Neodiprion lecontei: one gene and its partner. The main gene of each other region encodes a partner of the protein of the gene in region 2 in a complex. Links are inferred from orthologs where the notes say so. Each region holds a gene or a part of one and is shown on either strand. Other genes may lie near its edges.

What was found.
Region 1: the proteins of symplekin (region 2) and RNA polymerase II subunit A C-terminal domain phosphatase SSU72 are in contact, whole or in part, in a crystal structure (PDB 4YGX), measured with the Drosophila melanogaster proteins. The link is inferred for Neodiprion lecontei from reciprocal best matches to the Drosophila melanogaster genes Sym and Ssu72. Residues at the interface, in NP_649580.1 of Drosophila melanogaster: Glu91, Ala117, Lys121, Gln125, Gly128, Ser129, Glu169, Asn170, Asp171, Gly172, Thr175, Asn176, Lys179, Phe180, Arg198, Ser240, Ser241, Val242, Ile245, Ala246, Ser249, Thr281, Ser283, Gln284, Ser286, Ser287, Lys290, Met294, Gln295; in NP_001285455.1 of Drosophila melanogaster: Glu114, Tyr117, Asp118, Val121, Met122, Glu125, Glu128, Ser129, Val130, Asp131, Asn132, Arg133, Pro134, Asp168, Asp170, Asn171, Asp174, Gln178, Glu181, Val187, Ile188, Leu189, His190, Ser191, Val192, Phe194.

What each region holds. Positions count from the first base shown.
Region 1 is NC_060263.1:35,824,857-35,828,431, forward strand, and holds RNA polymerase II subunit A C-terminal domain phosphatase SSU72, read right to left. Parts: upstream 2,490-3,575; 5' UTR 2,163-2,489; coding exon 2,080-2,162; intron 1,920-2,079; coding exon 1,776-1,919; intron 1,638-1,775; coding exon 1,379-1,637; intron 1,171-1,378; coding exon 1,069-1,170; 3' UTR 605-1,068; downstream 1-604.
Region 2 is NC_060261.1:29,147,770-29,151,703, forward strand, and holds the start of symplekin, read left to right. Parts: upstream 1-1,319; 5' UTR 1,320-1,695; coding exon 1,696-1,752; intron 1,753-2,131; coding exon 2,132-2,328; intron 2,329-2,638; coding exon 2,639-2,872; intron 2,873-3,038; coding exon 3,039-3,325; intron 3,326-3,524; coding exon 3,525-3,754; intron 3,755-3,837; coding exon 3,838-3,934. UniProt on the Drosophila melanogaster protein: Component of a protein complex required for cotranscriptional processing of 3'-ends of polyadenylated and histone pre-mRNA. Involved in germline stem cell transit amplification, differentiation and mitosis-to-meiosis transition.

The DNA of each region.
Region 1 (3,575 bases), on a different chromosome or scaffold from region 2:
ACAGGATTCGTACGCACAGGGAAAACCGGGAAAACCGGGAAAACTCAAGGAGTTTCTTACAGCAGGGAAAAGTCAGGGAATTTTGAAAATAAGACTGGAATTTTAAATTTCTTGAAGAAATAAACTCGTTCTTATACGTACATTACTTGATATCAAACCTCCTTTCGTTTTTTTTATTACTGAAAATTGCTGGCTGTTATTTGTAAATTAGTAGTCGGACAGTAAGTTAATTACTAGGTAATATTTAAGGTATTAGTATTAATTTGCAAAAAAATTGTCATTAATCAGCGGCATATTTCTTGGAAGGTTATTGAAAAAAAATTCTATTTTCAGGCTGGAACACCTGGAAAAGTCAGGGAATTTCGGGTTCCAAAAAGCGTCGAACCCTGGTGAATAGAGTAGACGAATTCTGACACGTTACAATATGAAGATCATACTTGAGATCTAATTTCAATCTATGAATCTTAGCGTAATCCCAATAGCAGCTTGATAAAAATAAAAAATGTATATAGTACTTCGTCAAGGTATAAATACAATTCACTAGTACACCCTGCCTCTATTTTAAAATGTTGTTTATTAAATCTTGTTAATTATAATAAATGAATAATTTGAAAGCGTGTAATGAATTTTTTATTCACAAATATATTTATTTTGACACGTTCGATAACACTTGGATAAACAATTAAACGCTCTTTGCAGAGCATTGTATCATACATGTTGTTATAAGTCTAATTTTTACTTCCCATCACTTGATACCTATTGATATAAATCAACAGGCAATTGAAATATACAGATGTTAATAGGAACTTGATAAATTATACAATGTTTTCATAATATATTTCTAATAACTCCGTATTTAACGAATAAATACAATTTTTATGTTTTTTTGAATTATAAATGGTGATAATTTCATCGATTGACCAATCTCCTTATTAAAGCGATACGTAAGCCCTGTAGCAAAGTCACTAGTTCTATAATTAAATATTCCTAACTTACATTAATTTATAATCTAATTTCAAGATTGATAGACTCTAAGACGAGTTGTCAAAATTGTTAAATTTTGAGAAATCAGTAGAACAGCACAGTGTGTAATATGGGCCGTGCACATTTTGCTTCGAAATCATGAAGCAGTTCATCTATGTCGTTGTCCAGGTCGTCGCTGTTGGATAACTGTAACATTGAATTGTTATTCTCTTACAGAAAAAATCAGCACTGTTGCAACTTGAATAATAACAAGTAACAAAGACTAAAAAGTTCAGAGATCTATTTCAACAATTATTGCGTTGAATTCAATATGTTTCACAAATACATTGAACAAATATTTATCTCAACAAAACAAGCCCTGATTCTAGGAAGAATATTGAAAAAGTAAAATTACCACTGTGACTAGTTCGCAAATGAGGAACGAGCCGACCGTGGCCTCCTCATGATTATCCTGAATATCAATGTTGATAAGATGGACGGGCTGATTATCTTCATGGCTTCTCGCTTCCATGCATTCGATGACTTGATCATAAACACGCTCTTCGCATGTAACTAGAATATCAAATTTGTCCTTGGAAAGTTGAAACCGTTCAGGTCTCGGTTTTATCCGACGATTTCTATCCAGCATGTGAAGTAACCCATTTTGCGTATAACTGAAATTGTGATTAAGAAAAATTATTGATTTATTAAGTTATGTATTGCACGTGAAACTTTTCATTGCGGAAAAGGTACTGAAATTAATTACAGGCTTAAATATTAGCCACAATAAATAGTTCAAATTAAAAACATACTATTGTTTATCTTTGGTCAGCAAGTCGTTGTAAATTTCTTCGTACGATGTGCCAAAATCATAAATGTTTGGACGATCAGGAGCATTTCCTGGCAACTTTACCTTATCCCCAGTGCCAAAAGACTTTACATTAAATCCCTTTTTGCTGAAACATGATAAAATATTTTTCTTTATAACTGCACCAGATACAAGTGTTTACGATATGAGTCAAGGTTGAAATCTTGATGTGAGAATTAGCAAATTATATAGAGCTGTAGGGTTGCTCCAACTTCAACATTGAGTCATTTATATAGAAATCAGTTTACCTCAAAAATGCATGAGCTTCCATACTTCTGTTCATATTACTCGAACATATGACTGCGATGCTTATCGTATTTTGTGCCGGCATTGCTTTTGCGGGAATACGCAAAGCGTGATTAGAGTTGTGGAGGAATGCGAGGTTAACCGACTTAACCTCAAAATCAATGACTTGAACGATTCTCACGTACGATTATTCAAACTAAAGAAATTTCTATTTTGAAATTTGCGAGTTTGAATAAGCTTTCTACTGAGGTTTCAACATCCGTAGAAAAATTTCTTCAACCACCAAATATCAGTAAAGAATCAACCACGACACCCTTCAACCTTCGTGTCTCCTACGTGACTGCCCTGGACTGCCCTACTGACTGCGAACGTCACTGTAGAAAACCGACGTACAAGCGCAGACCTTAGACCCCTTAGACCATACGGAAAGGATTGGGCATGGGAGCGGTGGGGGTGCTGCCGAGTGAGGAGACAAGGATAGCCATAGCGATATACCGGGACAATCTGTCGAAACTTGGAAATCAACTGCGCATGCGCGAGTTTTATTTAAACTGTTTCTGGCGGCGACGTAGTTGATACGAATTTTCGAGGTTAGAATCTCAAATAATTGAGATAGTGACTCGGAAAGGTTTCGGAAGCATTTGTTGTTGGGTCAGAAACATAGACTTATACCACTTATACATAATAGACTGAGCATGCCGGATATTTCCCTCGTCCTCTGAACGCCTATCGGTGTTGGTGCTGTCTCTTTCTCTCTTATGGGGTTTTCCGCCCTACTCATCTCTCAAATACCGCCCATGGTGGGGGAACCAAGCGCTAGAGGGGAAGAGAAAAGCAAGTGAGGGGCAGTTGCAGGTTGTGCCATCCCACATATCCCCACCCCAAGATCGCTAGAAAGAGATAGCAGTATCAGCTGCGGGTGTAAGACAAGAATAGCACCGAAAACGGGGGAATCGAGGTTCAGGAGACAGTCGCTCCGAACTAATGCTCAGTTTATTTTATATATGGGCTATTCCGCGTCAACCGGATCAGTCATCTCTCAGATATTTTTTTAATTTCGCATGTGGATTGTGTAGGGGGAGTCAGATTTTTGTGCGAAAGCGCGAATCTCATAATGCAAAATTCGATTTTTTATTAACAATAACAAATTAGACTCCCATTTTTTTCAAAAATTCATAACTTCGGCAAAAAATTAGATACGATATATTTTTTTTTTAAATTACGCGGAAAGCTCCATAGAATTTAAAAAAAAATACGAAATGGTAAAAACAAGTTGTTATCAATTGTTTATTTAACAATTAATTTTTCAAAGATTTTTAAAACAGTGACTGACACGATCAAAAAATTTTTTTAAAATTCTGACATGTTCCTTGAACTGTACTACAACCTGTGAATTAATTCCAGAGGGGTATTTTTCTTCATTTTTGAGTAAAAAATCATTAAAGGTGTCGATGCGCATGAAATTGCGGCCCGCCGAGTCTCTACGTAATGGCGGGCG
Region 2 (3,934 bases):
GCTTTTCAAATGACAATTTTATTCTAACGTAAATTTAACTCATTGTCAATAAAACTCATGCTTCGATAGTGTGTAACTCATGTGGAATCGTAATACTTTAGGATTTCTCTAGTTTACTCAGAGTAAATTCCATGTGAATACATTTTACTTTTTGATGAATTTAATTTCTTAATACAAGTCAACAAGGTGCACATACCTTTGACAATTAAGAGTTTGGAAATTTCAACATCTTTCTCCCTTGCTTGACCTTTCGCAGTCGACACTACGGAAAAGTGTCGAAATTCCGGATGAAATAGTATCGACTTTTTCGGAAATAAATATTCTCAAACTCGAAAATCCTAATAATCAACACGGGCACTGCCATAAATATATAATAAAGTGGACAGATATACGTAATTATAATCTGGGCCACTTGATAATAAATTTCTGAACAATCTAGTTTGTGGGTCAGCGGACGGAATGACAATACAACCAGCTAATATGAGTAGAAGTTGAAGAAAGGAACCTTGATCATCTTTATATATTTTATTTAATACTTTTGTGATAATGATTTTCTGACTTTCATCGGGGTTGTTAAAGCATGGACTCATACATTAGTAACAATCTAGTCTTACTTAAATTCTGAAAAATATTTTCAAGTAGTACTTTTGCATAGAAAGGTCTAGGATTTCCGCTGCAAATAAACTGTATTTTTTAAAAACCACGAAATGTAACGTCAGTTAAGGAATTATTTTTACATGTCAGCTGCATCATTCTTTCGGAATGAAGATATGAGCGGTGCCTGAAGATAGATATTATTATCCTCAGTTAACGCTACAAGTCTAGTATTAAACATATGTACACAAATTACATAAGGTAGATGTAGGAACAACTGTATATCTTGATCCGTTGATTCACTTCTTCGGGTCTTCGACTATGTCTCCCATCCTTTGCATCAAGAAAAGGTTTCTAACTCTGTTAACAGTAAACCGGGTGCATGTTTATTGTGCGTCTATTTAGATAACATTATTTTTATCGAACCGATGGAGTTAGATTGACATTGCTGAATTGGGTCCAAATGAATTTGCGTAGTTGAAAAGTAAACGACGTCCATATGAGGTTTTATGAAAATTACAGTCTGTTCCCGTTCGTCGTTTCAAAGGCATAATAATATTCGACTCTGCATTATCTGGGCACACGCGGTGCACGATGGTAACATCAGTTCCTGTCGTCCTTATGTACCGACCGCTTGCCGGATTGAGTTGCGATTCCAAGGTAGGACTTGTATATCTTCAATCACGTTTCATTGTTCATGGCGTGAAAAGATTGCCAATATTGTAATTGGCCAATATGGCGTAGACGGACTGTTAGACGGAACTCAATAGCACCATAAATTGCTAAATAGCATATTAAAAAATCGCGTTACATTATATTTGCATTAAGATCACTTTGCAGACAAAATTACCGAATCAAATGGGAATATTTATTCTTACTCATTAACGTACAAAATCATATTTATTCTAGGATTCAAAAATCATGTACCCAACTATTACAAGTTTTTGACGTATCGGAGACTCAGCGAATTGTACATAAACGAAACATAATCAAACATATGTAGGATACACCCGCATATATTACATTTTATTATCGTCGCCAATTTTTCGCATTCAATCAGCAAGTCATCGCGTCCCATAAACTTGTCAATTCGCAAATACAATGGACCCACGCTTACACAGAAGACAAGAGTCTGAAAAAAAGGGCTCGAGCGACTTGGTCAGTGACATAACCTAAATTTTGACACGATACAAGTAAACAAACAAAAAAAAAGAACCTAGAAAAGAACACAAATATTTTAGTACTTCGAAGTATTATCACTCGCTTATTTATCAGTTCCACTAATAATGCATTTAGTTACTTACATCTGATTCTTCCATTACCTCTAAACGCGACGCTACTCTTGCAACGCGTTTCGAGGTAATCGCGGAATCGGATATAAATACCGAGCGCAGCTTAAATAGTCTATACATGAATGATTCTAAAATTTATTCAAAAGGTTCCTGTAATGACAATGCGAAAAAAGCATGTAAAAGAAAGTCGAAAAAAAAAAAAAATGGAATACATGTACTAATTTGTAATTACTACAATCTTGCAGGTCGTAGAATGGCTTAATGATGCTTCTATGAGCACAAGCGAATCCGTAAAATTAACCAATTTGGCCAAAGTTAATGAGTTTTTGATACACAAGGAACCAAAGTTGCTGGATCTATACTTGGACGAAACGTTGCAATTCTCTTTAGATAGGAGTAGCGAAGTTCGAAAACTTATCGCAGGATTTTTGGAAGAAGCTGGGTATTTGCAACTCACCTTTTATTATCATTCATAAGTCAGGATTTTAGTCTATTCGAGTTTTTAAACTCTATTGGAATACTCAGTGATTGTCTCAATGAAAAGAATGAGTACTAATACCAGACTTTATAATAGATTGTTCATTACAATTATCCTTTGCTTATTAATTATGCATTGATTGTTATCTTTACATGAGGAAGCCTAGAATTTACAATTAAAGCTTCAATTTCTGCTGCTGTTACCTTAAACTGGCTGAAACATATAAGAATTAAATTTACAAAAATATTTTTTAACCGTGCTTTGACCATCGTAGGTGTAAACAACCTGACCTGATTCCTCGATTAGTCCAAACACTTGCAAGATTAGTTGGAGATGATGCATCAGCTGTGATCAAACGGGCGCTTAGAGCAGCGGGAAGAATTCTTAGGGCAACATTGAAATGGATATCAAGTGTTGCGATTATTACAACAGACATGGAACTCGCTTGGACACAGCTGAGCAATCTGAAGGTTGCGATAATAAATATGATCGACAGTGACAATGATGGGTAAACAGAAACAAAAATTTTTCTTATTTTATTTTCCATATCTTATGTTCATTAGATGCTGCCAAAGAATATATGCTGATAAAAATTGTAAAACATGAGGCTGCACATGTCTTTTAGGTATTCTGTTTTTTCTTTCATCATTTTACCCTGACTATTTTGGTTACAGAATCAGGACGCAGGCAGTAAAGTTCCTGGAAGGAGTCGTTTTGCTGCAAACATATCCAGATCCTGACGCTCCAAAAAAGCCGGATGACTTCTCCTTAGAAGATATTCCATTAACACTAAAAATAGCTCGGAGAAGAAAACTTGAGGAGGAGGCAAACCATGTTATGGATTTGTTGATTAAATTTCATGGTTCTCCACACGTTAGTAGCGTCAATTTGATGACTTGTATGGGGTCCTTGGCATTGATTGCTAAAACTAGGCCTCAGTTTATGCGTCAAGTAATTCAGGGTAGGTATTTTTTCAGTATGTAGTTTCCTGCTCTCAGTTTGGCTGCAGTATTGTAGTGATAGCAGAGCTTGAAAATTCGAGAATTTTTAGCAAAGTTATTCACACCTTAGGCATTTCTATATTGAAACTTTGAAACAACTCTGATGCTCAAAAATGGTTAAGAACAATACTTAATAGATGAATAATTTTTGGTACCCAGCCTTACAACTCCTACAACATGATCTACCACCAACGCTGTCCGATTCACAAGTAACGAGTGTCCAGAAGCAACTTAAGCTCACGCTATTGGGATTGCTAAAACACCCTGCAAGCATAGAGTTCGCAGGAACGATGGCAAGACAATTGAACCAGCTCGGGGCAAGAGAGCAAGAAATCATGAAGGCCTATCCAAAAGTCGAGGATATTCGTAAGATGAAAAAACGGCAACAGGTAATTGCAATTGGAACTGAGCCTCATCTTACTTAAAAATATTCTGTTTACAAAGAATCAAATGATATTTCTCAAATCTGCAGGAAACAGCGGCAGCATCTGCAGCCAAACGTGCGAAATTGGAGGCTGCAATTGCAGTTGAAGAGCCTGAGCAGCAACCGATGGAAATTGAATCCGTGA